Cricetulus griseus: one gene and its partners. The protein of the gene in region 5 interacts with the protein of the main gene of each other region in a pairwise test. Links are inferred from orthologs where the notes say so. Each region holds a gene or a part of one and is shown on either strand. Other genes may lie near its edges. The genes, in order: Smad3, Clk2, Snrnp25, Rbm10 and Cpsf7.

Region 1 (6,285 bases), on a different chromosome or scaffold from region 5:
AGGTTGGTGCCTTAGTTGAGAGAAATTTGTTGTCTTTGACAAGAACAAGTTGGATGGAGTTCTCTTCCAAGGCCATTTTCCCCAAGCCCACCCTCCCCCACCCACGCCCTTCACTCCTAGTATCTCTAAGACACACTGGAACAGCGAATGCTGGGGGAGCCCATCTGGGTGAGGACCTTGTCAAGCCACTGCAAGGGCCCATTCAGGTGCAGCTCGATCCAGCAGGGGGTACTGGTCACTGTCTGTCTCCTGCAGAAAGAGGGAAGAGGTGGGAGACTTGAAAATGTCCAGAAGGACACACATGTCAGAGCCACTTCAAGCCAGAACTGTCTTCATGCTAGATACTGCCTAGAGGTGTACCAGTAATGAGACCAAACCAGGCCATACTCTTCCAGTCGAGGAGGGCTTTGAGTAAGTCAGGTACTGCGGAAGGGAGATGGCCTCAAAGAGTTAAAGAAAGAAGGTCAGTTCCCCCATGTGTGACCTGCCAGAATGAAGGTCTCCCTGGCTCCCAGCTCTGCCAATGGGTAGGTACCTGCAGCCCTTCTCCAGATCTGGGTCAGCCCCACAGTTTTCACGACATGTCTGTCTGATGGAGAGTGTTTTTACAAAGCACTGACAGAGCCCACATGCTTCAGGTCCCAGTGAGCTGTTATAATCCCATCTACAGCTTATTTTGGAAAATCTTACCAGCAGAACTAGCGGGGGAACAATTACTGGAAAAACCAAGGCACACCACACATTTCTTTGCCTCCAAAGCACTTTGTCTAAATTCAGACTACTTGGTGACGCAGCTTGCAGGCAAGCTCCCAGAAGCCTCCAGTGAGCAAAGGCTATCTGCTGTGGCGACATGCGGGTGCCAGCTGGAGGTGAGACCTGGGCCGCAGGCCCACTTACAGCTGCTTTAGAAAACTAGCCTGAAACCTTACTCTGTTTGGCCCACATTGCAGGAGGGCATGGCTGTTCTGGGAAGGGGCCGCACCCGCCACTAGGCTGCTATGCCATGCTGCCAGGCGGCAGTGACGCAGTAAGCTGTGTAGGACGGGGTGTGCTGGCAGGGTATCCTGCATGGTGATACACTGCCCTAGAGAGGGGCTTCTGCCAACACATCCAGGGCCATTATCCTGACCCTCCCTGATCATCATGGGCTTTGCCTGAATAGGGAGGCTCACGCTCAGCCTGGGGTGTCTGCCTGAAGGCAGTGGGCCTTCCAGTTCTTTTCCTTTGGGGTTTTTGCACTAACAAATTAATTTTCTAACCTTTCACTCTCATTCCCTAAATGATCTAAATCCTGAACTAAAGGTTGGCTCCGGCATTTCTCCAGCCAGACCTTTGGGCCGGGTCATCATAACATGGCTGAAGGCTCTTCCGCAGTCTAACCACTTGGGTTGCTTGCTTGGTCACCCTCCCTGGATTTCAGATTAAAGGGCCCAAAGTGCTTTGCTCCCTGGCACCATGAGGCATCCACGAAAGAACAGCAGCTCTAAGATCTTAATGGAGAAGCTGGGCTTTACAGACCTCCATCCTCGGCTGAGAATACGACTTTCCATAAGTCATGCTCATCGGGATTTCATTACGAATGGTGGCCCAGAGCCAATATTGAAATGGGTTTGGCTAGGGTGCAGAATGACTGCAAAACAAAATTGATTCCAAACATCTGGAAAAATGAAGAGAAGGGGTGAGGAACTCGCAAGGCGCTGGCTGCAGCTGATGTGTGGGTACCTCTATGTCTGTCTGCTCTGGGGGCTAGGGAGGAGGGATGGAGCAGAAGGGCATGTAGCCCTGCCTCCCAGAACGCTCCTGTCCAATATGGAGAAAGGAGACTAGATTCTCATTAAACCCAGTCTAGACCGTCTGAGGGCCTCAATTGAGCAGACCAGGTAGGCCTGGGTATTACTGGTGCTATATTTAAAGTGCTAACTGAAATCCTTTATAAACACTCACATCTCCTTTGTTGAGTTTACTAGTGATGGAGCCAGTGGTAGTGTCAGGGAGACAGTCACCCTGAGAGTCTGTCCCCAGAGAGACAGAAAACACAGCGGCAGCCAGGAGAGGCCAGGATGGAACGTCTCTTCCACTTAACTTCATGCATGTTCTTTTCCCTCCCTAGGCTTTAGCAGAGAAAGAATAATGCCAATGTCCCCACGCTGGGCCTGGAGATGCTGACCAAGCTTAAGAACTGCTGAGCACCAGGCAAAGACCATGCTGCTATACCTGGCCACCATACCTGCTTTCCCTGGTCCCCGAGGGACCTAGGCCAGTTGCCTGGAGTTGGCTCCTCCCCACCACCTGCCAAGAGCTCCTTAGTCACTGACCTGTACTCCGCTCCCCAGCCTTTGACGAAGCTCATACGGATGGTGCACATGCGAGTCAACTGGTAGACAGCCTCAAAGCCCTGGTTGACAGACTGGGCCAGGAGGGCAGCAAATTCCTGGTTGTTGAAGATCTTCAGGTTGCAGCCTGCCAACCACAGATAGTCAGATAAAGCACCCTGGAAATGCCCAAATGGCCTGATTCACACGCCTCAGGTGGCACATAGTGGTTCCACTCAGTGGCTCCCTGCTCTGTTCATCCCTATGCAAGGAGGGGGCTTCCCCATTCCTACACTTGATTGGTACACCCTTGCAGGGAGAAGCATGTACAAGGGACACTAAAGGCTGGCCCACATCCTCCAGCTGTGGGGATGTCAAATGCTAAGAAGGAAGCCTGGAAGTGGACTTGGATGACGCAGGGATCTTCTGGAGAGGCTGAGGCAGGACTCTAGGGTTCAGAGAGGCAAGGGACCTGAGCCTAGCTGCCAATGCCTTATGGTGTGGTAGCCACCTGGGGACAGGTGCTCCCTCATCGGTGCAGTGAGGTGGGTAGGGGGCCTACTGCGAGAGTCAGAAGCATCCTCCACCTGGCTCCTCTGATGGCCCTGCCTCATGTTGGGGCTAAGGAAGAGAGCTGGGTCACATAGTGATGTCTTGATTCAAGCTTGGGCCACAGTGACATCAACAACAATGTACCCAATTCTCCAGAATGCAGCTGGAGATGGGCACAAATAACATGGAAAATAAACCTTGTTTGAAGTCCTACTGCCCAGGTGCCAGGAGAGCAAGGCCCAGGAACTAGAAAACCAGCACAGACCCTATCAGCTGTGGACTCTGCCCTGCCTCTTCTGGTGATCCTGTGTCCCCTTTAAAAGGGGGAGGGGGATTGATCGTCAGGGCCCTGACAGACTCTAAGCTGACATGATATAACCAGAGATACTCAGCCTTCACCAGGGAGGGAGGTGGAGCAGAAAGGCAGAAGCTAGGAATACCACCCCTCCACCTCCATCCCTGCATGCTCCTGGGAAGGTGGGTAGACCAAAGCACAGACCACACCCACTCCTGGGGCTACAGCCCTAGCTGAGCCAAAAGACTGAACACCAGGCTAGTCAGCCAGCTCTCCACGGCTCAGGCCTACTGTGGCTTCTTCCCAGCTCTTGGACTTGGAGAAGTAAGTGTGGCTCATTCTGAATTCTTTCCCTAGCCTTTCTTAGAGCCACAGGGGTTGCTAGAGAGGAAGTGTGAGCTCAGAGATGTGAACTTTGTAAATAAAACCACAAAAGCTGCCAGAGCAGAGATCCATTCCTGGCTGAGATTGTCTGAGTTCTTTGGTTTACTCTGCCCACAGCCCACTACTCCATTGTCCCCTACTAAGCAACAAATGGGAAGAGGAGCTAGCTACGTGTGTCCCAGGCAATGGCCTGACACAGGCCACCTGCTATATGAGGAGTACTTTGGCTTTCCTCCTTGGTGGGGTCCAGCCCACAAGTTCTTGGGACCCATGAGACATCCTCAGAAAACCCTCAACTCCCCAGAATAAAACCCAAACTATCACTTCATCCCAGGCCCAGAATGCCTTTTAAACATCTAACTTTTATATGGTACATCCAGCCAGTGTCCAACCCTGCATTTCTTCTATACCCTTGTTTCAGTGTCCTCCCTGCCACATGCCCTCAGAAACTTCACCCCACCATCTCCTGTCACTTAATGTCTCCTCCAGGGTGTCCTCCCTGATCATCCATCCCACAAGTACATGCCCTTTCTCCCCATCAGCTGCTTGCCTGGGATTTACAGCCCTCTGTGTGTCAACACTCATCTGTCTTCATCTTAAACACTGTAAAGCTGTGAGTACAGAAGGGGCACCTTCCCCATCCTGCCCCAGTTCCTGTCACAGACCCCCAAATACTCTTCTGTTTGGAGGAGTGAGTAAAGGAAAGGGATCACCTCACACTGGTGGGTGAAGGGCCATGCCCTGGGTTACAGATTTGTTAGATGCTACCTCTGTTCTCATGAGCTTCAGTGGTACACAAGAGTCTATACAGGTACAGTGTGGACACCAGTGTGGAGGAAAGGCAAGGAAGCCTTCCCAGGCATGCCTCGGGTGGTGACCCCAGGGCCGCACTTCAGGGGCTTACCTGGAGGGATCTTGCAGACGGTGGCAGGGTGCCAGCCATAGCGCTGGTTGCAGTTGGGTGACTGAACAAAAATAGCACTGTCACTGAGACACTCTGCAAAGACCTCCCCTCCAATGTAGTAGAGCCGCACGCCTCTCCCTAGGGAGTCATGAGACACAGGGTCAGAAAGACCACCCCACAGGGCAACAAGGCAAGCTGGGGAGGGGCAGCAGACAGAGCTGCAAGTGGCTACTCCAAACAAGAGGAGCCTAGAGCCCAGCCCAAAGCCAAGTGGGAGAATGGTGGGCAGCTCTGAATTCCTAAAGCAGTTGGAATAGGTGGCACACGAAGGAGCCTGGACCCAGCTTCTACCACTACCCAGACCTGAGCTGTCTAGAGGACAGCCATAATAACCTACCTTAGTGACGACTGCAATGGTGCCTGGTGAGGGACAGCTGCTGCCGCCCCACTGCTCTAGCTCCACCTCCCCCCCAAAAGTCACAGAAGTGCCTTGGTGATGCCAGGGTGCTACTGAGGCATCAGCCCTCTGGCCCCTTGCCAAAGGGACCTCCCTGCGCATGGTTTCCTAGTGCAACTCTTGCTTTCCTTCATCACCTAAATCTACTCCAGATGGACAGAAATTAATTTTCAATTGGCTCAGCACTCCAGAGGTTATGTAAACATTGAGCTCTTCCCAATGGGGATGTCCCCTTATGCTTAGGAGTCCCAGAGTGCAAGAAAACAGCTCAACTTGAAGACTGGAGCCTTGTAGGACCAGGTGACATCTACACACTGCCTGTCCAGACCCTTACTGCAGCTGTACCCCACACTCCCACCTCCTCTCATCTGGGTCCAACAGTACTTGGTGCTAGGGAGTCTCAGTGCCCCCAGGAGGCAGCAGTGGGGGTGGGGTGACTCATTACCAATGTGCCGTCTAGTAAGTTCCACAGCTGCATTCCGATTGACATTGGACAGCAGGCCCAGGCAGAAGCGCTCTGAGTTGGAGGGATCGGTGAAGCCATCTACTGTCATGGATGGCTGTGAGGCGTGGAATGTCTCCCCAACTCGCTGGTTCAGCTCGTAGTAGGAGATGGAGCACCAGAAGGCTGGCTCACAGTAGGTCACTGGCTGTAGGTCTGCAGAAACAGAGTATGCCAGGTCAGTGGGTACCCAGGGAAGCTCTGAAAGCTCTCATCCTTTGATCCCTGACCCCAACTTCCATTGCACAAACCCTTCAGGGTACCAGCAAGTGAGATCCTCAGAGTCTGAGGGAGACCCTGCCAGCCTCTAAGGGAAGCAAACCAAGTCCATTTCTTCGGAGCCCACACATACCCTGCTCCGTAGAGTCTACCCTTCCTATGAACAGAAGCAGCCTTTAGAGACAGGCTAGCCCAAACATGAAATGGGTCAGGACCAGCCAGCACCAGGGCCAGCACTGTGAGCAGCCCTAAGTATGCTCTAGATGTGGTATGAAGTCATGCCATCTACAAAGTCACCTCCCAGCCTCTCTTCTGAGATTCTCAAAGGAGCCCATGTCAACCTCTGCCTCCCAAAGGGCCTTTATTTTGGTGTCATTCGGCCTGAGGAGCAATTTGTTATCTGTCATGTGTAATGACATGGCCACAGTGGCCTTGTGAGTTCAGCTGCACTTCATGTGTGAACAAGCAGACCAGAAATCAGGAACAGGAAGGGCCATGTGTCTCACAACAGAAACCTTGGCCCATCTTTTATGTAGTTGATAGCTGTTAGAACAATGGGACACAAAGAAACAGATTTTTTTTGTGGTTGTACAGCCTCTCAGCTGGGAGCTCCTCAGGGCAGACTAGCCACATGAAGGCCAACTCTCTCCTAGGATAGCT
Region 2 (6,017 bases), on a different chromosome or scaffold from region 5:
ATCACTTCTATCTCCAAAGTAGACCTGGGGTCCCTCAAGAGTCGGAGAGCTTCCAAGAGGGTAGGCACACTCAGTGCCCACTTCAATGTTCATGCTCCAAAGCATGACTGAGAACAAGGGGACTTTTTATTTATCAGGGTCCCCGAGGGACTCCAGAAGAATGGGGAGAGTAAAGGCCTGGGCTGGCACTCACTGAAGATGAGCGGCTGAAGGTGCGGCTACGTCTCCTCCGCCGTCTATGTTTCCTCCGGCTGCTGCGCTGGCTTCGGTAACTGCTGTTCTCCCGATGGCACTCATAGGAATGTCGAAAGTCAGTGTCATAGTAGGCATCTCCACGGTCCCGGCTATAGTCATTGCGTCTGTAGCTGCCACAGTACCGACGATCATATACCCGCCGGTCAGATGAATGATCATCATAGCTGCTGTTGGATAACAAATATCCATCAGGAATATCAGGCCAGGCCACATTCCCTGCCACCATGCAACATGGTCCTACCTTAGGGAAAAGAGCCATGGGAGTATCCCTTCTGTGGTGGTGGGGGGCTCCTCCTCCTCTCCAATGACACAAGGAACAAAGAACCAGTTTGCTCTCTAATGTTTCCAAATGAAATTTGGCCTTGTTCCAATCCAACCCACTCCTCTCCATACCACTGAATTATTAAAACCCCACAGACCTAACTTTCATGTAGCTCGTGAGCTCTCTTTAGCATGGCATGTGCGGCCCTGCCCCCTGAAGACATTTCTACCACTGATTCGCATTTGCCCCACCAGGCAAGCTTAGGTACCCTTTCTTAAAAGCTGTCCTTGAGTCAGGCATGGTGGCACACACCACTAATCCCAGCACTCCAGCAGAGGAGAAAGATATATGTGGTCTACACAGAAAGTTCTAAGCCAGCCAGGGTAACACAGTGACACCTTGTCTCAGGAACAAACACAAAAGGGCTAGAGAAATAGCACAACAGTTAAGAGCACTAGGTGCTCTTTCAGAGGACCTGGGTGCAATCCAGCAACCACATGGAAGGAAGCTCACAACCATCCGTACCTCCAGGTCCAGGGGATCCCATACCCTCTCTGACTAATGAGGGTACCTACCAGGGATGCATGTAATCCAAGACAGACATGTAGGCAAAACACTCATACACATAAAATTTAAGGAAAAAAAAGGTAAGTTTCTCCTTAACGACACAGGTCCAGATCCATTCCAACAATGCCTGGGGGTACAGCTTCCACCCCTAAGTACTTCCTCTACAAAAGCACCTTTCAGAAAAATTCTTTTTTTGAGAGTCTCAAAGAAACTGTATAGATCAGGCTGGCCTTAAACTCAGTATGAAGGAACTGTATAGACCAGGCTGGCCTCAGACTCAGTATGAAGCCCAAACTAGCAGTGGACTTGTAACCCTCCTTGTGTCATCCCAAGTGATGGGAGTCATTTTTTTTTTTTTTTTTGGGTAATGCCAGGAAGTGAACTCAGGACCAAATGCTTATTAAGTACATGCTCTGCCACAGAAGTACATACTTAGCCCACTGGCTTCAGCATGTAACCAATAAGCACTTATTGAATAAATGAATAAACCAGTGACCTGGAGTCAGTCTCTCTTCCTGAGGCCTCACCTTCGGGACCGAACATGATAGCTGTCCTCCCTCCGCCGCCGCCTTGTCCGGTCACTGCTACTTGACCAGGAGTGACTTCTTCTTCGCTTATGCTTTCGGCTCCGATAGTGTTCGTGATAACTCCCCCGGCTACCACGTTCTGAGGAATGGTACCTTCGTGGATGAGGCATCTAGAAGGGAAGCAAAAGCAGATGGTAGGAACACTTTTGAGTTCTTAGAAGCTCTCTGGATCTGTGTGCTTATGAAGATGCAAAGCCACCTTCTATGCCTTTTAGCACAGATTCCTCAGTCTTTGTGTTTACAACTTTTGCTTTATGGATTATACAGCCACCTACAAATTTTGGCTGAAAGCTCAAGAAAGTCAAATTCAACTGCTCTACCTCAAACATGGCTCCATGAAGACCGTCAGGTCTGAGCCACAGTTCATGACAGGTAACAAGTGTGTCTGATAAATATTGCCACAGTTCATCTCTGCTGCAATCGAAGTTATGAAGCTCTGCTGTCCCAAATTCTTCACAAGCAAACAAAGTAAAGCTTCAGTTTACATGGCTGTTTTAGTTATTAACAGCAAATCCCTCCCCCCTTACTAGATTAGGAGTACCACAAGGGCAGGACTTCAGTTTCCCAGGATCTTACAAATACTAGCAAGTTCTAGGGACCAGGGTGTGGTCCTATAAATAAATGTCTCTCAGACATCTGGCTAAATCTCTGACGTTATAAAACAGTACCACAAAGTAGTTGTACATTCCCCACCACCACTGTATTTAGTAAGTAAAAAATAATTGGGATTTGCCTTTTCTTTTTGGCTTTTCAAGATGGGGTTTCTTTGTAGTTTTGGCTGTCCTGGAAATCTCTGTAGACCAGGCTGGACTTGAGCTCAAGACATCTGCCTGCCTCTGCCTCTCAAGTGCTAAGATTACATGTGTGCCTGGCTTTTTTTTTTTTTTTTTTTTGGAGACAAGATCTTTTTATGTAACCCTGGCTGGCCTGGAACTTGCTATACAAACTTGGCTGAACTTGAACTCAGAGATCTTGTTAGTCTCTGCCTCCTGAGTGCTGGGATTGAAAGGCTTGCACAACCACATTTGGCTTGTTTTCTTTTTGTAGGAAGTGTGACTTAACATATCCTAGGCTGCCCTCAATTTTTAAAAATGTTTTACTTTATTGATGTTTTGCTTGCATGTATGTCTGTGTGAGAGTGTCAAATCACTTGGAACCGGAGTTACAGACAGTTGTGAGCTGCCACATGGTTTTGGAATTGAACCCAGGTCCTCCAGAAGAGAAGCCAGTGCTCTTAGCCACTGAGCCATCTCTCCAGCCCCGTCCTCAATTTTGATTATGTCACCTAGGATGGCCTTCACTTGCAAGTGAAGAGATAAGAGCAGCCTCATCATACCTGGCTTACCCAGGGCTTCATGAATGCTAGTTGAGCACCACCATATCAACTGAGCTATATCCTCAGCCTAATAACTAGTTTTAAACTAGTATCAGTACTACTTGGCTGACAGCTGGGCCTCCTCCATTAAATAAAACTGGGCCGGTTAAAAGTTATGAGTAATTTTTCAGTCAAAGGAAATACTCAGAGCAAAAATCACTGTCATAATTCAGGAAAAGCACAGGACAAACTGAGTAAGAGGAGTCTCAGGAACAGCCTTGATCCAGGACTGAGGACATGAGGTCTGCAGGTTTAACGCCAACATCTGGTTGCCATTCTGGGCCACTTCCTCCCAACCTTCTTAAAGTAAGGAAGGTGACCTACAGTGCATTGGCCTAAAGTGACTGGCAGAAAACCAAGAAGATGAAGCAGGAAACTTCCCTAGGTAACTCAATCTTGATTAAACTGATTAACCTAAATGCCATTTTACTTAGGACACCCTACCAACAAAGTCACTCGGGTCTTTCTTAGAAAAGCAAATCCAGCCTAACTTTTCTCAACTTGAACATCGTGTCTCCAGTGACACTTCTCGGTTCGTATTAAAGCCCTAGTCCAACTTTTGCACGTATGGAACCGCTCCCTCCAAGTTTACTAGAGGTCTCCCGGCTAAGCGAGGCAGGTCCACCTCCCTCCCTCTTATCGCGCTACTCTGCTGCTTCCAGAGCCCAACACTCCTTCCTAATTTCGCCTCATCCCGTCGCCGCCCGTCTGGTGGTAGCCATCTTTCCGCGGCCCCAAGGTCCGTCAGCCCGCGCGCTCACCGTTCTGGCGGCGAGGCCCGTGCGCTTGTCCCACAGGAAGTCCGTGATGGCGGCGGCACTGCGGCCGGAGTCCCGGCACCCCCGCGGCGACGAAGTGCGGTTCCACCCCCCAACCCGGGGCCCTGGGACCTCCCGCCCCGTTCCCGGGCTCTGCTCCAGTCCCGCCCGCCCGGGCTCCGTCCCCGCCCCCTGGATCCGCTCGGCGCCTCTCGCACCGCCCCCGCCCGGGGCCCGATCCCGGCTCGGTCTCCGGCTCTGGCCTCTCCGCTCCGCCGCCGCTGCCGCGAGCGAGCACGCACGCATGCACGTACGCACGCACGTCCTGCGTCACTTCCCAGACTCTGATGGGCTCCGCCCACGCACACCGGGGGCCTTTCGGTGTGTTCCTCGGCTTAGCCGGCACTCCCTGGAGTTCGCAAAGCTCTGGGTGCGCCCTTTGGCTCGGGTAGTGCGGCACTAGGAACTTGTCACGTGTTTGTTGGGCCGCTACGCATCTTATCCTTTCTCAGGCCTTCTTCTTGCTCTTTACCCGAAGACATTAGTGTCTTTTTTAAATTGGATGTTTAAGGAAAGCGTTGGTAGTTACATTGTATCACTTTTGGGCAAACGACTCCAGTGAGGCTTTCTGAAGTCAGATTCTTCAAGCACAGCTTGAAGATACAACCTCCTAGCCGGATCTCTGTGAGTTTGAGAATTTGAGGCAGCCTGATCTCCAAAGCTACACAGAGAAACCCTGTCTCAAAAAAAAAAAAAAACAAAAAGAAAAGAAAAGAAAAAGAAAAAGGAGAATACAACTTCTGCTGCCCAACGCCAGCTAGGAGAGGTCCCTCTTTGTCCTGCACAAAAGTCATTTATGTTTGGGGTAGGTACATGGCCTGGGAAGAAGAGGATTAGGGGGCCAGAATTGGGAAGCATGGTGTTTTATTCTCCTTGTTTTTAGATATACCTTAAATTATTTGTCTGTAGCAGATTATGTGCATGTCAGTGCAGGTATTCATAGCGGTCAGAAGAGGGCGTCGGTTCCTCCCCCCCCCCACCTGGAATTACAGGCAGTTGTAGGTGCTGGGTTCTCTGGAAGAGCAGTTCGAACTCCTAACCACTGAGCTATCTCTCCAGCTCCAGTTTACTAAATATTAAAAAAGAACAAGAAGTTAACCATGATGGCTAATGCCCATAATCTCAGTTCTCAAAAGGCTGAGGCAGGAGGATTTGAAAAACTCAAGGCCAGCAGGGACTACAGTGTGAGATTGTCTCAGAGAGAAACTAGCTCAGAATGTGGCCCAATTGATAGAGTAGTTGCCTGTTATCCAGCAAGCACTGGCTAGAGAAACACACACACAATTTACACATGTAATGAATGAATCCCAGAACGTGAGAAGTGGAGGCAGGAAAATCAGTGGTTGAAGGTTATCTTTGGCTACACGTCTCTAAAGCTATCTTGGGGATACTTAAGACTTTATCTCAAAAGCAAACCTTTATGTTTTAAATTTATTTATTCATTTGAGGAGCTGGAGAGATAGATAGCTCAGCAGTTAAGAGCACTGACTGTTCCTCCAGAGGACCTGGGTTCCTTTCTCGGCACACACATGATGGCTCATATCAGTTTTGTAATAGTTCCAGGGCATTCAATATTTCTTCAGCTTCTTCAAGCATTGCATGCATGTAGTATACAGATATACATTCAAGCCAAAATACCCATCCACATAAAAATAAATATGTATTTAAAAAAAACAGGAAATAGAAAACAATACTATACAAAGGAACTGGGAAATTGTCAGAAAGGAGAATTGGAAGGGAAACAACCCTCATTTAATAAATACATTAAAGTTAAGGAAAATCTGAGTAGAAGTGGGGGAGAATAGTCAGATGGAGATTGGACTAATTAACCAGAAATAGTTTAGAAATTACCTATGTAGAAAGAGAGCCAGGCCCAATGGCTCACACCTTTAATCTCAGCACTCTAGAATAGAAACAGACGCAGGCAGATCTCCATGAGTTCAAGGCCAGCATGATCTGCGTAATGAGTTTGAAGACAGGCAGGGCCACATAGCAAGACCTGTCTCAAAAGATGTGTGTGTGTGTGAGAGAGAGGGGGGGGAGGAGGGGATTGGGCAAGCAATTTAATTTCCTTCTCAGGGATGCTTTCCCAGGTCATTTACTGACTGTTTACTGTGTGCCCAGCCTTGTACTCAGCACAAGTTTCTTTTTCC
Region 3 (6,098 bases), on a different chromosome or scaffold from region 5:
CAGTGGCCTCTTCCTTTCCTTTGCCTTCTTGCCTTACATCAGCTTTGGCAAGTTTGACCTGTACCGCAAGCGTTGCCAGATCATCATCTTCCAGGCCGTCTTCCTGGGGCTGCTAGCTGGCCTGGTGGTTCTCTTCTACGTCTACCCAGTCCGCTGTGAGTGGTGTGAGTTTCTCACCTGCATCCCCTTCACCGACAAGTTCTGTGAGAAGTACGAGCTGGATGCTCAGCTCCACTGAAGCAGCTGCAGGCACCCCAGAACACCCAGCCCCCTGGGGCTGAAGAGACGGTGCTCCCTGAAGACTGACCTCTGTGCCTTGCTCACTCCTGTTGAGCCCTTCTACTGCTGGACACTTATACTACATGAGTTCCCATGATAACCTTCTAACTAGTCCCCTTGACGACCACTTCATGTGGCCAATAAATGGACTGGGAGCGTTTTAGCTGCCACTAACTTGACCAGGGCTCTTTCTTTTCCTGATTTCTGGCCGTGGATGTGGGAGAGGCCACAAAGACCTTGGACGTACAATTCCCGATGTCAGCGGTTCTCAACCTATGGGTTGCGACCCCTTTGTCAAACCTCTATCTCCAAAAATATTTATATTTCGATTCAGAACAGTAGCAAAATTACAGTTTTGAAGTAGCAATGAAAATAATTGTATGGTCGGGGGTCACTACAACATGAGGAACTGTATTAAAGCATTGCAGCATTAGGAAGGTTGAGAACCATTGCTCTAAGTCAGAGACATCACTGGCTGTCACCTCTCTGTGAAGTCTTGTAGTGGGGTTAGTAGCCAGTGTTGGGACATGGACCTAGGGGAGTACAGGCATATCCACAGTGGGGAGCATCTTGCACCCTTGTAACTCATTCCTCACCATGCTGTCTTTTTCACTGAGCCCAGGAGAAACATGGCTATAGGGAACCTGTTAGATGGAGGCCTGAGGCCTCCACTTCCATCCTTGTCACCTGCTAGGTCCTATCACAGGCCCCGAGATGCAGGCTCCTGTTTCTTCACAGCAGAAACAAAGCTAGCTGCTCAGCTGTGTCACTCCATACTATGAGGCCATGGCAAGAGAGGTAGCAGTATGGTTCCAGAGCTTAGGTGTGGCCTCTGAGACTTTGGCGCTTCCCAATACCAGTGTCTGCCCTCACCTCCCTCCAATATGGGACAGATCCAGCTCAACCACATAGAGTGTCTTTTTGATTTGTCCATGTACAAAGCAAACAGGTTTATTTTGGAGGCCAGGCACAAAACCACATTGGATCTTCAGGCAGAATTTATAGGAAGGCGAGGGACCGAGGAACTTTCCATGTTCAAGTGTTCTGGGCTCCTGCTGACAACCCCACTCAGGCAATTCAGGAATGCAGCTACCCCAACATCTTTTCCTGTTAGGACAAGGGAAGGGCACCATCTTGCTGGGTCACTCTGGGGTTCACTTCTGCCTAAGCTTCTTGATAAAGGAAACCTCATCTCGATTCCGGATGCCATAACTGAAAAAGATAGAATGGTACAGTGTCTGACTCACAGAAGGATCACTGGGTTTCTGAGGGATCAGGAACCATCAGGTGAGGATGGCCATAGCCTTCTTCCCCCTCCACACCTGGTTTCCTTCATGCAGCTCCAGGCTGCTGTGAGAATAGCAGGGCTGTTTCCTTGCCCTGCATTAAGTGGGAAATCCCAAGGAAATGCCCACAGGACAGTCAATCCAGCTAGGGACCTTCCTATTACAGCCTTTTGGTGGACACAGGCACTGATGGACCACTGACCTACAGCTCAGGATGTGGATTAGACTTACTCCCTGAGCTTCTTCCTGTCCTCTGTGAGCTTCTCCCCAGCTGAAGTCAGATGGTACGTCCGCCACACATATGACCTGCAAAGAAGGGACTTAAGTGATGCACATGCTACCAAACAAACAGCTGGGATGATAGAGGCTTGCAGCATACAGCTTATGGCACCCAGGACAGATAGATTCCCCTTCTGGACATTTTACCCTACATGATGTATATGGTAGGCCCAAGGCAGTTAGCAAGAGGTACCAAACACATCTTGCTAAGGAAATAGGTGACAATACTGAGGGAGTTGGATAACAGGATACTTGATCCAGCAGCACCTAGGTGAGGAGGGAAGGGGCCACTGACAGGTACACCACCTATATATAACTAGGGAGGCATTAAGGTGTCAGGTGTTTCCACGTGACGATATCCAGCAGTGTGGGTAGGGTGACATCAGTGAAGGGTATTTAGAAAGGACAACTGGGGAGGGACCCTCAGGCACAGAATTACCCAACCCGAAAGAGGAGCACTGGTGGTGTACACAAGAGGAGCTGAAAGTTGCCTCCTTGTAGTGCCCACACAACCCCAGGAATGACAGAAGGTACTGTTGCCTCACTCACCAGCTGATGTGCTGAATGCCTCCTTCCCGCTCCTGCTTGAGCTGCATGTATCTCTGGATAGCCTTCTTCAGGTCCAAGACCGTGGCATTCTGTACGACGACCACAGCTGGAATCATGGACACATATGGAAGAATCCACACACAGAGCCCCAGGCAATGGGAGAGAAACCCAGGGCTCTGCTCTGTTGGGCAGGGTGGCTGTGTGGCTGTCCCAGCACACCCAGGCACGGTCTCTGCTAGTACCTTGCTGCTGTGAAAGCTCAGGCTTACAGAGAGAAGGGTGGCTGTGGCTTGAATGAGACTGCCCCCATAGGCTTCTCTATTTGAATGTTTGGCCCCAGTGGAGCTGTTTGGGGAGGATTAGGTGTGCACTCCTTAGAGGAGGTGTGTCACTGGGGGTGAGCTTTGATGTTTCAATAGCCCACACTACTGCAGTTAGCTCTGTCTCATGCCTGTGGACCAGAATGAAAGCTCTCAGTTACTGCTCCGGGACCCTGCCTGCCTGCCTGCCACGATGATCATGGACTCTAGCCCTCTGGAACTGTGAGCCCCACAAACATTTTCTTTTAGAAGTTGCCTTGATTGCAATGTCTCTTTACAGCAAGAGAAAAGTAACTAAGATGGTGGTACTTACGCATTACCTCTCCATCCATCTTGCACACTCGGACTGTCATTGCCTGGCCATATTCCAGTGCAATCTGAGAGTTGACCTCTTCTAAAGTGACCTAGGAAAGACCAAAGGGATGTGGAGATGCTTTCTCTTAACACCCCAACAATAACAATGGAAACCAAGCTGACAGTGCCCCAAAGTGGTGCCCTGTATTATGAAGAGCACAGATATGGGGTTCTTGCCTGCTATGGTTAGGATTTTCTATTTAAAAAGTCCCACAAGGGAGCAAAGGAACATGCATGGAAACAGAGCTGCACAAGGGAAGAACACTGGGCCTGATGATTCTGAGAGTCCTATATCAAGCAGTGTGGTAGGACTAGGTTGAGGCAGGGCAAGGGTGCAAATTTACTAGCTACCAAAACCCAGTGATGACAAAATAGTTTTGTTTGTTTTGAGGCAGGGACACACTATGTTCTAGAGCTCTAAATGGGTCAGGCTGGCTTGGAATTCATAGAGATCCGCCTGTCTCCGCCTCCCAAGTGGTGGGATTAAGGGCGTGTGCCACCACTATCGCCTGGTAACGACAGATGTTTTAATAAAACACTGAGGGAAGTAAAAGTTGAGAAAGTGGTGTAACTCCGTGGTAGAGCACTTGTTTAGCATTCGAAAGGCTCCAAGTCTGATTCCCAGTTCTGTGAGGACACAGAAGTTAGATTAAAACACCCTTGACGGACAAGGTCAAAAAATACATTAAAGAATCACTATGCCCACGCATATTGATGCTTGAGGCAAATGGAAAAAGACCAGTCACACTGCTCCTGAGTTAAAAATCTTAGTATTTGTTTAATCCTAACTTTTCACGCCTGCGAGGGAGTGTTTTGGGGTCCTCTCACCCCAAACTTTCCGCTTATGCACAGAAGCGTCCTTCGCTGGTGGGACCACGGGTGCCCATCCAGAGCCCTGTCGCGCACCTGGATCGGAAGGTCGCAGAGCAGCGGGTCTTGCACTACCATGGCGAGACCTTCTTGGAACACGTCCACGGCCTCGGAATGTGGCAATGCCTCCTCATCATCCTCATCGTCCTCAGGCACTTCCGGCCGATCCGCGGGCTCCGGGTCTTCCAGGGTTGCCAGCTACCGGTAGTCTCGCTTTTCCGTCGCTCCTTCAGCCGGGCCTGCCTTCCAGCGCGTGCGCAGTGACTGCGCCACGCCCCTGGCGAGGTAGTTCGGTCATTGGTGCACAGCGTGACTTCAGTGACCAATGAGAGGTGCGAGAACGCCGGTTAGGCTGGGATAGGGCGGGTCACGTGCGCAGTGCGGGCAGCGCGGGAGCTATGTGCAGGCAGTCGTGTGCTTGGTTGTAGAATTCAGTCGGGTCCACTGGGTTTCTACCTGGTCTGGTCGTCAGGGAGGGCCAGTACTGCCGTCGCCTCACCCAAGACACCTATACCCCCCTCCGCCTCCACCAGGACAGCATCACTCACAAAGCGACACTAGGAAGTGGGTGCCTCCTGCTGCTCGGGATCAGTCGTTGCTACCTCCGAGTCTATGTCCCTGCCAGGTCTCGGCAACTCAGGGATTCTGCCTCGGGCTCCATTCCAAAAAGTGACCAGAAAGGTCCACTTAAAACCTGGTGAGATTGAGCGGGGCGGTGGTGCACGCCTTTAATCCCAGCACTCGGGAGGCAGAGGAAGGCAGATTTCTGTGAGTTCGAGGTCAGCCTGGTCTCCATAGCGAGTGGAGAGTGCCAGGATAGGCTCCAAAGCTACACAGAGAAACCCTGTCTCGAAAAACAAAACAAAACAAGCAAACAAAAAACCTAATGAGATTGAGCCGGGCGTGGTAGCTCACACCTTTGGTCCAACCAGTTGAGAGGCAGAAGCAGGCAGAACTCATCTCTGAGTTCTAGGCCAACCTGGTCTACAGAGCTAGTTCTAGGATAGCCAGGGCCACAACAGGTAAGTAAACCCTCTCACGAAAGACAACACAAACAAAAAAATCTAGGCGGGACCCGTAGTCCTTTGTGCTGCACAGAGTAGCAGTGCCAGGCTCCCATCTGCTCACATCGTCTCTGGTCTCCAGTCTTCTTGTTCTTTCTGTTGCCCTTTTACACCAGTCCCTGTAACAATTGTAGTGCCCATTTTAATCGCGTGTGTATGGGTGCTTTGCATTTTTTCTTCTAAGCACTATTCGTGTGCAATGCCCACAGATGTCAGGAGAGGGTGTCAGATCCCCTCGGGCTGGAGCTACAGAGTATGGACCATCATGTGGGTCCTGTGAATTGAACCTGGGTGCTGGGTGAGCAGCCACTGCTCCTAATTGTTGTGACACAAGTCTCTGGCTTATCTGTGAGGTATTATTTAGATCAGGTCACTCTTTGGGCATGCCTGTGGTGGATTTTCTTAAATCTGATAACTACTTGGCCATTCTGGTATCTGGGATTTTCTTGGTTACATTAATTGAAATGCTAAGACTCACCTGGAATGTGAGCCACATCTTCTGGTAGCAGCTTAGATATTAATATAAAGTGGTCTGAGGGGAAAGAGTTTGCTTTTTGACTGCTTGCTTTTGTATTTTGTTCATGAGTTATCTATTCTGTTGCTGTCACTGTTCCCACTGTCCTCCAGTGACACTGGAACTCAGCCTTTTCAGCTTCCAACATCGATTGAAGACCAGTGTTTCTCCAAGAATTCTCTTGGTCTCCAGCACCAGATTAGAACTGCAGAGGCATTCAGCCTTGAGGACTGAGCACCTACTGGGTTCTGCAGTGTGCAGGCAGCTGTTGTTGGATACCCAGACTGTATCAGGCAAACCAATCTAATACAACTCATTTAATATATTTTATTTTATTTTAATTTTTTTTTTGGTTTTTTGAGACAGGGTTTCTCTGTGTAGCTCTGGAGAGTATCCTGGCACTCGCTCTGGAGACCAGGCTGGCCTCGAACTCACAGAGATCCACCTGCGTCTGCCTCCCGTGTGCTGGGATTAAAGGCGTGCACCACCACTAACCGGCTACAACTCCTTTATTATGCATCAATTCTATTGGTTCTGTTCCTCTAGAACCCCTAGCTGATATAGATGAATATGCCACTTTTTA
Region 4 (4,319 bases), on a different chromosome or scaffold from region 5:
TTTGATGTTGAAGGCCAGTCTTTGACTATATAGTGAGTTTGAGGCCCTATCTCAAAACAAAAAAAGGAAAAGGAGGTGAAAATTTTGGTAGAGAATAAAGACTAGGAAGATGGGAAGGTGTGGTGTGTACCTATAATCCTAGCACTGAGTGGGACTGGGGGCAAAGGCAAGAGGATCGCTACACGTTCCAGGCCATCATGGGCTACATAGTTGTGGGAGGGAGGGAAGAGGAAAAATGAAGAGATTGAGGGTGTCTTGCTTGGTCTGAGGCCTAACACATACCTTATCAGGATCAGCCCAGGGTGGGGGGGCCATTTGAACATGTATCCGTTTTCTAGTCTCTTCTTCCTCCACTGTTGTTGTCAGGACCCCTTGCTCTTTACTACCTTAAGGCTGCATGCTTTTCTATCAAGTGGAAATGCTAGCTCCATGTGTAGGACAGATACTTCTAGCAGATGTCTTCCCTTATGCCCTGTCATCTCTCACCTGCCCCTCAGGCCTCCCAGGGTGGAGAGAGTGCCTGGGCTGCCCCTGAGGAGACTCCAGTTGACTACAGCTACTATCAACAGGATGAAGGCTATGGCAGCAGCCAGGGCACAGATTCCCTCTATGCCCATGGCTACCTTAAAAACAGCAAGGGCCCTGGCATGACTGGGACCAAAGGAGACCCAGCTGCTGCAGGTGAGCCTCATCCTCTCTTGCTGAGCTTAATTGTGGGGCCTAGAAGCCTACTGTCTTATGCGCTAACATTCATGGGTATTCTCCTTGGTTTTCCTTTCAGGTCCTGAGGCCTCCCTTGAGACTGGGGCAGACTCTGTGTCACTGCAGGCTTTCTCCCGAGCCCAGCCTGGTGCTGCCCCTGGGCTTTATCAGCAATCAGCAGAGGGAAGCAGTAGTCAGGGTACAACTTCCAACAGCCAAGTGAGGATAACATTGATTGACACTCTGGGGAGGCTGGTGGGCTGGCAGGGTGCATCTTGAGTGGGCAGGAGGGTATTAACAGACACTGAGTTGTGTTCCCTTTTGTGACCCATGAGCAGTCATATACCATCATGTCACCTGCTGTGCTCAAGTCTGAGCTTCAGAGTCCTACTCATCCCAGCTCTGCCTTACCACCAGCCACCAGTCCCACTGCCCCAGAGTCCTACAGCCAGTACCGTGAGTAGCCATACATAGCCTGTAGGTAAGGGTGTGGACTTCTCCAAGCAAGGAGGAATTTGACAACCTTGTCTTTCCTCCCCACAGCCGTTCCTGATGTCTCTACTTACCAATATGATGAGACATCTGGCTACTACTATGACCCCCAGACTGGTCTATACTATGACCCCAACTCCCAGGTAGGTGACGGGGTAGGCTAGGGAAAACTGGACTGTGGTTGTGTGGCAGCTAGCCCTAGAGGTCCTCCCTCATGTCACCTCTTCCCATTCTCTTCCTCAGTATTACTACAATGCTCAGAGCCAACAGTATCTTTACTGGGATGGAGAGCGGCGGACCTACATACCTGCCTTGGAGCAGTCTGCTGATGGACATAAGGAGACGGGGCCATCATCCAAGGAGGGAAAAGAGAAGAAAGAGAAGCATAAGACAAAGACGGCCCAACAGGTGAACCTCCAGCCATCATCTCCTGTTTGGAGTCTGTGTTCTGTCACCTCCTGCCCTCTTCAGCTTAAAGGAAAGTAGAGTAGTGGGTGGGAATGGACAGAGGTTGTAACTGCTTCAGAAAGTAAGGACTCTTGAGCCAGATCTATTTTGGGAGGTGGGGTACTGTAGCAGGACTACCTACCACCATAAAGTGACTTACACCATCTGAGTGAGCTCTGGCAGCTTTTCTCTGCCCCTCGAAGGTAACCTTCATGCTGCTGGTGGATGTCTGTTGATCCAATATAAATTCTCGTAGGCTTATATGAAGTTGATTAAGAAACATTGCAGGGTTTTCTATAGAGAGCAGTTAGAGAGAATCTCATTGCCTCTGTAGAGAAAGGGTATAACATTGAAGCACAGCACTTAGAAGCAAGCAGTAAGTATTCCCTCAGCAACCTGAGGAATTCATAGACTGGAAGAAACACAAAGCATTAAACTTGACACCATGTCACATGTCTTAGGTTCCTATTGCTATGATAAACACTGACTAAAACCAACATGGGCATGAAAGGGTTTTTCATCATGAACAGAAGTCGAGGAAGGAACCTGGTGGCAGAAACTGATGTAGAGACCATTGAGGAGTGCTTCTTACTGGCTTGCTGTCCGTAGCTTGTTCAGTCTGCTTTCTTACACAACTCAGGACCACCTGCCTAGGAGGTGGCACTGCCCACAGTGAGCTGGGTCCTACCACATTGGTCAGTAATTAAGAAAATACCCCAGAGACTTACCAATAGGCCAGTCTGTTGGAAGAGATTTCTTAATTGAGAGTTCCTCTTCCCAGATATGTCTAGGTTTGTATCAAGTTGACAAAAACCAACCAGAACATCACACATAAATTGAAATTATATACAACCCTAGGGGTGTGGCTCGGTGGAAGAGTGCTTGTCTAGTATGTTACAAGACCCAGTTACTTCCCCATTCCCATACACAAGTATGTAGTTCTCTGTATTTAGAAAGTAAAAATGAAAGAACAAATAATGATACAAGTGCCAAATCAGAAGTTGGGGTTGCAGCCAGGCAGTGGTGGCCTTAATCCCAGCACTCGGGAGGCAGAGGCAGGTGGATCTCCAAGGCCAGCCTGGTCTACAGAGTGAGTTTCAGGATGGCCAAGGCTACACAGAGAAATAAACCTGTGTCAAGAAAGAAATAGTTGGGGTTGTAACCAGAGAGGGGCTTGAAAAGGATCCCAGGCCAATACAGAAAATAGGATCTTGTACCAACACCTTTGCCCCACTGCCCTTCTGACCCTGCTTGCTCAGTTGTTATCTGCCCACACTATTTCTGCTGCTGCTTTTGCCTTTGCCTTTGGAAACTACATGGAGTAGGTGGGAGGCAGGGGAATGTTTGGAAACAGTCAGTAGAAGGAAGGGATCCTTGGCATGAGCTTGAGTTTATTTTAATAAGATGGTTTGGAGAAGGTGGAAGTATTTGGGCATGGTTTATGGTTTTTAAAGGAATGTTCTACAAGGATGAGACCCCAGAGCCAGGTATACACAGCCTTTTACAGTGGTTGAGTTAAGAAAGGTACCAGACTTGAGGCTACAGGGCGGGAAGGGCTACTATTGCAAGGGTCATGGGTGAGAGAATAAAGCCCCAAGTTCGAGGAATTCTGGGAACTTTAATCCCCCCCCCCCCCAGATTGCGAAGGACATGGAGCGGTGGGCCCGCAGTCTCAACAAGCAAAAAGAAAACTTCAAAAACAGCTTCCAGCCTATTAGTGCCCTACGAGATGATGAGAGGCGGGAATCGGCCACTGCAGATGCAGGCTATGCTATCCTTGAGAAGAAGGTGTGTTGTAACTGTCCATCTGTGCCCCACCTACAATCTCATTACTCCTTAGGGTCCTCTGGGGAGCCCTGAATTTCTGTGTCCTTTACCTCAGGGAGCGCTAGCTGAAAGACAGCACACCAGCATGGATCTCCCAAAGTTGGCCAATGATGATCGTCCAGTGAGTTGTCAGAGCAAAAAGGGCAGGGGTCTCTGATCTCAGCAAGGCTGCTGATTTCCCACCCTCACTGTCTACAGAGCCCACCTCGAGGGCTGGTGGCAGCCTACAGCGGGGAGAGTGACAGTGAGGAGGAGCAGGAGCGAGGGGGTCCTGAGCGGGAAGAAAAGCTCACAGACTGGCAGAAGCTAGCCTGCCTGCTCTGCCGCCGCCAGTTTCCCAGCAAGGAGGCACTCATCCGGCACCAGCAGCTCTCTGGGCTCCACAAGGTAATTGAGCAGAGAGTTGGCAGGATAGCCTGTGTCTAGCCCATTTCAGCCCAATTGCTTTACTCTTCTTCTGTCCCCCTCTACAGCAAAACCTTGAGATTCATCGGCGAGCCCACTTGTCAGAAAATGAATTAGAAGCACTAGAAAAGAATGACATGGAGGTGAGGTGTGACCCACTCCTGGGCTCCATTCCATCTTCCCCTTCCAAGTCCCTGTCACTCCAGGCAGTAGGACTTAAAAGTTCCTTAGCCAGGTACAGCCTGACTGCCATCTGTTTTCCTGTTGATGGGAGACTTCTTCCCAGTTCCCATGCCATTGTGTCCTGACCTTCAGGACCTAAGACTGGGCCAGACAGAGAGACCTGTATGCCTCCCCCCAGCCCCATCCATGCCTATATCTGCTGAAAATAACAGCCAATTCCAACATCTTCCCGTGCACTAATTTGTAGCAAATGAAGTACCGAG
Region 5 (5,519 bases):
ACAAACTAAAGGAGACCACCCAAATCCAGATCTCACCCTTTAGACTGGCCATTTGCACGGTTCTCTGCAAATTTTAACTCCACCACATCATAGACTCCTATAGAGCGAATAACCTGGATCAGCTGCTGGTCTGTAGTCCACTGGGGCCGGCAAGATGGAAAAGGGAGAAATGTCAAGAGCAACATGCCTGATACCCACCCACCCAGATGTCCCAAGTCCTGTTCCCACATCTAGGACTCCAGCCACAACCACTGACCGCCCACAGGAAACCCTAAAGCCCAGTAATATTTCAATCAGTGCAGGCTTTCCCCATTGTCCTGACTTCTAAACCCATCTAATCCCACAGCCCCTATGTTTGGGGATTAAGACAGAAATTTATTTAAATTTTGACTGACACGTGGGCTGGTTGATCATCAAATCAAACAGACTGCAAGCAACTTTAATTATAATTGTTGACAGGCTAGAGTTGACCATGCCAGGAACTTTCCCATTAGTACATACATTTCCTGATTTGGCATCCCCCACCACCAGCCCAAAAACATGTCCCACAGTTAACTTTTACAGAACAGTCAATGCACACCCCAAGTACCCTAGAGCTACCAAGGTCTTTGATCCCCATCACCCACCATTAGCACAGGACCATCTAATGACCACCAAGAGTTCAAGGTGTTCACTCTGAAATCTCGTCCCACAGATGACCCTGCTAGACATAAAGCCCCAGGGTCAGGGGCAGTAATAAGATGGCAGAAAAGGCAACTACCCACTTAATCAATGCTTTCTTCGGCACCAGTACGTCCTCAGGATAGTTCTCTTTCAGAGATCAATCCAACCTGATCCCAGGAAAAAGAAATCCAACCCCATCAGAGCACAAAACAGTGCAACAGTGGTTTCTGAAAATGCCATCACCTCCCAGTGCTCTCCCTCCAGCCCACCCATAAGACTTTTGGTTATCCTTGCTTACCCAGGAGAAGCTGCCTACATAGACAGCTGCTCGTCTACTCCGCAGGCCACTGTATGTATACAGGATTGCAGGGGTCTTGTTGTTTGGTTTGGGAGACGGCTCCTGGCGAACAGGAGGGGGCGGTTCAGTGCTACTGCTTCTATCATCTGAAGGCTGTGAGGTAGCCGTCAACACATCATCATACAGGTCAATCTGATCTGTATTGTTGAACTCCGAGTCCTAAAAGATGAGGGATTGACAATGGAGTCTTCAAACTTTTCAATTTGTTTCCTCTGCTTCATTCTAGTTGACTTAGAATCAATAGTTAAATGCTTTGTAAAGAAATGGACAAGACCTCCCTGTCCCACTCTAGGAAACTGGGTAAGAAAGAATTCCTGATTAGAAACTCTTAGTATTGCTTATAAAATTTCCAAGACTATTAGTAGTATGCAAGTTTCTGACCTTAGCCTCCTGTGAGGATCAGAAGGCAAATAATGAATAAGCAAACAAACCACTAACAATTAGATACATGTGCTACTGTCAACAACAATATCAGATTCAAAGACAACATCTAAAATATATTAATAAAAATGTATTTTCAATATCAGGCTATCCACTATTGTTACATTTAATAAGAGTACATTTATTCAGAAATATAAAGCATGGGGAAAGAATGTTAAAGCAAGTAGGCAATAAAATGCAAAACAAAACACTGAGTTACCCTTTGGTTTATACAACTGATCAGGGAAATTTTCAAGCTCATAGAATACAATCTCAGCACTCGGGAGGCAGAGGCAGGCCAGCCTGGTCTCCAGAGCGAGTGCCAAGATAGGCTCCAAAGCTACACAGAGAAACCCTGTCCCGAAAAACCAAAAAAAGAATACAATCTCAACTTTCTAATAACCATCTAAGAAACATCAAAAAAAAACCAAAAAACAAACAAACAAACAAAACACATGGAGTAGAGGATTGGGGATATAGCTCAGTTGTACCTGAGTGCTTGCCTTGCACAAGAAGGCACTGGGTTCGAGTCCTAGTATTTACATGTCAAATATCAGGTACAATGATTTTCCCTTATATTTTGAGGTACAAATTAAGACTGGGTATAGTACAAAAAAAACAAAAGACAAAAAAACCAAACCAAAGACTGTATAGTGGCACATGTGACTGTAATTTCAGTATTTGGGAGGTAGAGACAGAGATCAGCAGTTCACAGCCAGCTTCATACAGAGTTTGAGACTAGCACAGGCTGTACCAGACCATCTTAAAAAACAAATAAATAAATAAAAGGTCAGTGAGATGACTTAATGCATGTTCAATTACCTTGACCCACTCAGTGGAAGAAAAGTTTTGTCATCATACTCATATACATATACAAAACAAATGTAAAAATGTACATAAATCACCAAAATCCCAAACAAACAAAAAACTTCCTCCTCCCAATTAGAGCATCCTGTTCAATGCTCTAACCCTCAGAAATCATTATACTTGGCTCTCTATACCTGTCAGTTTCCCATCTACAGACTTAACCAGACAAATATCAACTGAAGACATCCTAAGTTTTTAAAGATGGGGTAGAAGATATATAGCTTACTGATTAAGAACATTGGCCACTCTTCCAGAGTACCTGGGTTTGATTCCCAGAACCCACTGGCAACTCACAACTCCAGTCCCAGAGGATCAGACACCTTCCCCTGGCCGATGAAGGCAATGCATGTACATGGGGTACAGACATGCATAAGCAAAACACTCATATGCATAAAAATAAATTAAAAGAATTAAAACTATGGGGATGGAGTGCTTGCTAGCAAAAGGAAAGTCCTGTATTCAACCCTTAGCAAAGCCGAAATAATCATTGTCATCATCTGGAGATGTTTTTAAAGCATGGGGAAGGAATGCATAAAGATTTTATATGCAAAAATACCTCCTCCAAGTGGTTCTGAACATGCTAGGCAAGGTCTACCAATGAACTGTATCTTTTGATATATTTTTTTTTAATTTAAATTTTAAATAACTTCACAGGGTCTGGTGAAGTTATTAAGACTGGTCTTGAACTTGCCTCAGCTTCCTCAGTAGCTGGGGTTACAGGCCCACGCAGTTTTTTTTTTTTTTAGATTTAAGTACCCGAATATTTTATTAAAGAGGAAGACCTGAGACCAATTCCCCAAAGATATTAAGGACAACTAGACTTTATACAACCCACCAAGGTTTTTTAAAGGGGAAAGAAAGATTTTTCAAATGAAACTTAAAAGACAATAAGGAAATAACTATTTTGTATTCAATGCCAGAAAATTAGGAATCCTTTTATGCAGCATCTGTGATTCAGAGACGTATCTAAAACTTGTAAGACAAAGCCATCCCTGAAAACTGGCTAGATAAAAAAAGTCAGTGAGCCAATAGAAAGATTTCAACTTACAGAGCAAACATTATCAGTGGAAACCTTTTCACACTGTTAGCTTAAGGGAATCAATGGGCTCTTCCATAATCTCTGCAAGAACAAGATAGGCTCAATCCTGGAGGACCTTGTTTCTATATATTATCACTTCAGAAAGAAAATCCAATAAATTTAAATGTTCCAAGTTTCAGTGGTCTAACAGAGGATGGGAACTGTTTTTAAAAAGTGAGCTGGACATGGTGGCGCATGCCTTCTATCCCAGCACTCAGGAGGCAGAGACAGGAGGATCTCTTGAATTTGAGGCCAGCCTGGTCTAAAGTGAGTTCCAGGACAGCAGGGATACAAAAAAACCTGACTTAAAAAACTGAAATAAAAACCCACCCATCCTACAAGACAAGTTAAAAAAACACACCCACATTTCATAGGTGGCAACACTAAAATTTTTATTATAAGTTTAAATTGGAAATATGCATTCAACATTGAATAAATATCTTAGTAAGAATTTTGTGTTCAAGGACACACACACAAAAAGCTACAGTTATATCATGAATTTCCTACCAGGAGTTTGATTTTTCCCTCCAATATGCTCAGTGTTCCTCCCTTCTTGGTATCTGAGCCAGTGAAGTAATTAACTTGGGTATGTTTTTCTCATAGTCCTCATCTTACAACTCTCCCCCATCACTGTTGCCCATTACTCTGCATTGTTACTATCCATTTTGTTATTTTACAACTTTTGTTGTTGGGAGAAGGGGGGAGAATGGATTCTAACAGTTTCACATTGTAGCCAAGCTGGCCTCCAATTTATAGCAATACTGCCCCAGTCTTTAGAGCATTGGAATTATAGACGTGTATCACCACACCTAGTTAGTATCACTTTTACTTTTAACCATTAGGAATGGCATCACTTTTCGAGCACAGAGATTTACACTCTCCCAACAACTCACTACCTCTGATAGTGTCCAGTAAACAGAAGTAGTTCAAATCCTTCCTGATGTAGAACCAAGCATACTATAAAGCCCATCTCAGCATGAGAATGAAAGGAACAAACAGAAAATTCAGCAGAGTAGCAGTTCTCAGGCATCTTTTTAGTTTTTCCCTGTCCAGTAGAGCAGTTCGAGTCCCAGGGCTCCCAATGCCACATCAATAAAGTATCTCCGCAAAAGGTTTTTGCAGTATATGCTGCCAGAGATCAGAAGCAAATACAGGGTTCCATGTAGTTAATGCACTAATTTTCCTTTGGGAGCAAAGTGCTTGGGGGAGTTGTATGTAGGGCTAGCTTGGGGCAAATCAATTAACTGTCTAAGACATTAAAAAATCCAACTTATACTGATTGCCTTCCATCTAAGCCAATTTTGTCGTCGTCTTTTTTTTTTTTTTTTTTTTTTTTTTTTTTTTTTTTTTTTGAGACAGGGTTTCTCTGTGTAGCTTGGAAGCCTGTCCTGGAACTTGCTCTGTAGACTAGGCTGGCCTTGAACTCACAGAGATCGGTCTGCCTTTGCCTCCTGAGTGCTGGCATTAAAGGCATACACCACCACCACCTGGCTATCTAAGCCAACTTTTAGCAACTCTACCCAGACTTTTTAACCAATTAGCAGCTTCTAGATTACACTAAAACCAGCTTCGCCAAAAATTAACTTATGGGGATGGGGTCTCCTTTCTTAACTTTCAGAACATAAGACACTCAAAATCTATACTCGTTTCAATTTTCCCTTTTGGTATATATGCTCAAACACTGCCCTTTTGGTATATATGCTCAAGAGTCCACAAACTAATTCTGGCTTTAGAGCAGTAAGTCGTCCCCCCCCCCCAAAGCCAACTAAGGAACAAATTACTGAGGTTAATAATGTCTACCTTGACAAAGCAGTGACCACTGGACAAGAACTATGTCTTGTCTATGATTCCCAAGTCATATTGCTTAACCAATTATTAATTAATTTTTCTTTTAGATCAAATATGGCCCATGGTACAAGGATTCTGCCACCTGTTCTCTAAAGTAAGTTAGGAGCAGTCAACAACACAGATTCAGAATTGGGGGGTGGGGGGAACACACCACCTTTTAGTAATACAGAACTAAGAGACTTGTTAATTAATGACAAAGCATAAATTTCAAATGGTGAAAATCTAATTCAAACAAACACGTAAAACTCAGGAAAGCCACACTGGAGAGGGCTCAGCAGTGAAGAA

Evidence for each region.
Region 1: the proteins of Cpsf7 (region 5) and Smad3 interact in binary tests that used the Homo sapiens proteins (3 or more experiments, as listed by UniProt). The two-hybrid records come from large-scale screens. The link is inferred for Cricetulus griseus from reciprocal best matches to the Homo sapiens genes CPSF7 and SMAD3.
Region 2: the proteins of Cpsf7 (region 5) and Clk2 interact in binary tests that used the Homo sapiens proteins (3 or more experiments, as listed by UniProt). The link is inferred for Cricetulus griseus from reciprocal best matches to the Homo sapiens genes CPSF7 and CLK2.
Region 3: the proteins of Cpsf7 (region 5) and Snrnp25 interact in binary tests that used the Homo sapiens proteins (3 or more experiments, as listed by UniProt). The two-hybrid records come from large-scale screens. The link is inferred for Cricetulus griseus from reciprocal best matches to the Homo sapiens genes CPSF7 and SNRNP25.
Region 4: the proteins of Cpsf7 (region 5) and Rbm10 interact in binary tests that used the Homo sapiens proteins (3 or more experiments, as listed by UniProt). The two-hybrid records come from large-scale screens. The link is inferred for Cricetulus griseus from reciprocal best matches to the Homo sapiens genes CPSF7 and RBM10.

What each region holds. Positions count from the first base shown.
Region 1 is NC_048597.1:175,170,877-175,177,161, forward strand, and holds the end of Smad3 (mothers against decapentaplegic homolog 3), read right to left. Parts: intron 5,563-6,285; coding exon 5,350-5,562; intron 4,586-5,349; coding exon 4,448-4,585; intron 3,626-4,447; exon of another isoform or gene 2,461-3,625; coding exon 2,114-2,460; 3' UTR 1,704-2,113; downstream 1-1,703. UniProt on the Homo sapiens protein: Receptor-regulated SMAD (R-SMAD) that is an intracellular signal transducer and transcriptional modulator activated by TGF-beta (transforming growth factor) and activin type 1 receptor kinases.
Region 2 is NW_023276806.1:65,382,338-65,388,354, forward strand, and holds the start of Clk2 (dual specificity protein kinase CLK2), read right to left. Parts: upstream 3,957-6,017; 5' UTR 3,808-3,956; intron 1,782-3,807; coding exon 1,612-1,781; intron 423-1,611; coding exon 194-422; intron 1-193. UniProt on the Homo sapiens protein: Dual specificity kinase acting on both serine/threonine and tyrosine-containing substrates. Phosphorylates serine- and arginine-rich (SR) proteins of the spliceosomal complex.
Region 3 is NC_048600.1:46,024,769-46,030,866, forward strand, and holds Snrnp25 (U11/U12 small nuclear ribonucleoprotein 25 kDa protein), read right to left. Parts: upstream 4,201-6,098; 5' UTR 4,016-4,200; coding exon 3,974-4,015; intron 3,118-3,973; coding exon 3,027-3,117; intron 2,500-3,026; coding exon 2,394-2,499; intron 1,872-2,393; coding exon 1,797-1,871; intron 1,492-1,796; coding exon 1,434-1,491; 3' UTR 1,194-1,433; downstream 1-1,193. Other genes in the region: Rhbdf1 (inactive rhomboid protein 1), read left to right, coding at 1-238.
Region 4 is NC_048604.1:125,449,615-125,453,933, forward strand, and holds part of Rbm10 (RNA-binding protein 10), read left to right. Parts: intron 1-497; coding exon 498-681; intron 682-781; coding exon 782-921; intron 922-1,040; coding exon 1,041-1,158; intron 1,159-1,245; coding exon 1,246-1,337; intron 1,338-1,437; coding exon 1,438-1,602; intron 1,603-3,279; coding exon 3,280-3,429; intron 3,430-3,481; coding exon of another isoform or gene 3,482-3,523; coding exon 3,524-3,589; intron 3,590-3,666; coding exon 3,667-3,855; intron 3,856-3,941; coding exon 3,942-4,016; intron 4,017-4,303; coding exon 4,304-4,319. UniProt on the Homo sapiens protein: Binds to ssRNA containing the consensus sequence 5'-AGGUAA-3'. May be involved in post-transcriptional processing, most probably in mRNA splicing. Binds to RNA homopolymers, with a preference for poly(G) and poly(U) and little for poly(A).
Region 5 is NC_048596.1:49,932,845-49,938,363, forward strand, and holds part of Cpsf7 (cleavage and polyadenylation specificity factor subunit 7), read right to left. Parts: intron 1,181-5,519; coding exon 962-1,180; intron 704-961; exon of another isoform or gene 630-703; coding exon of another isoform or gene 627-629; intron 141-626; coding exon 37-140; intron 1-36.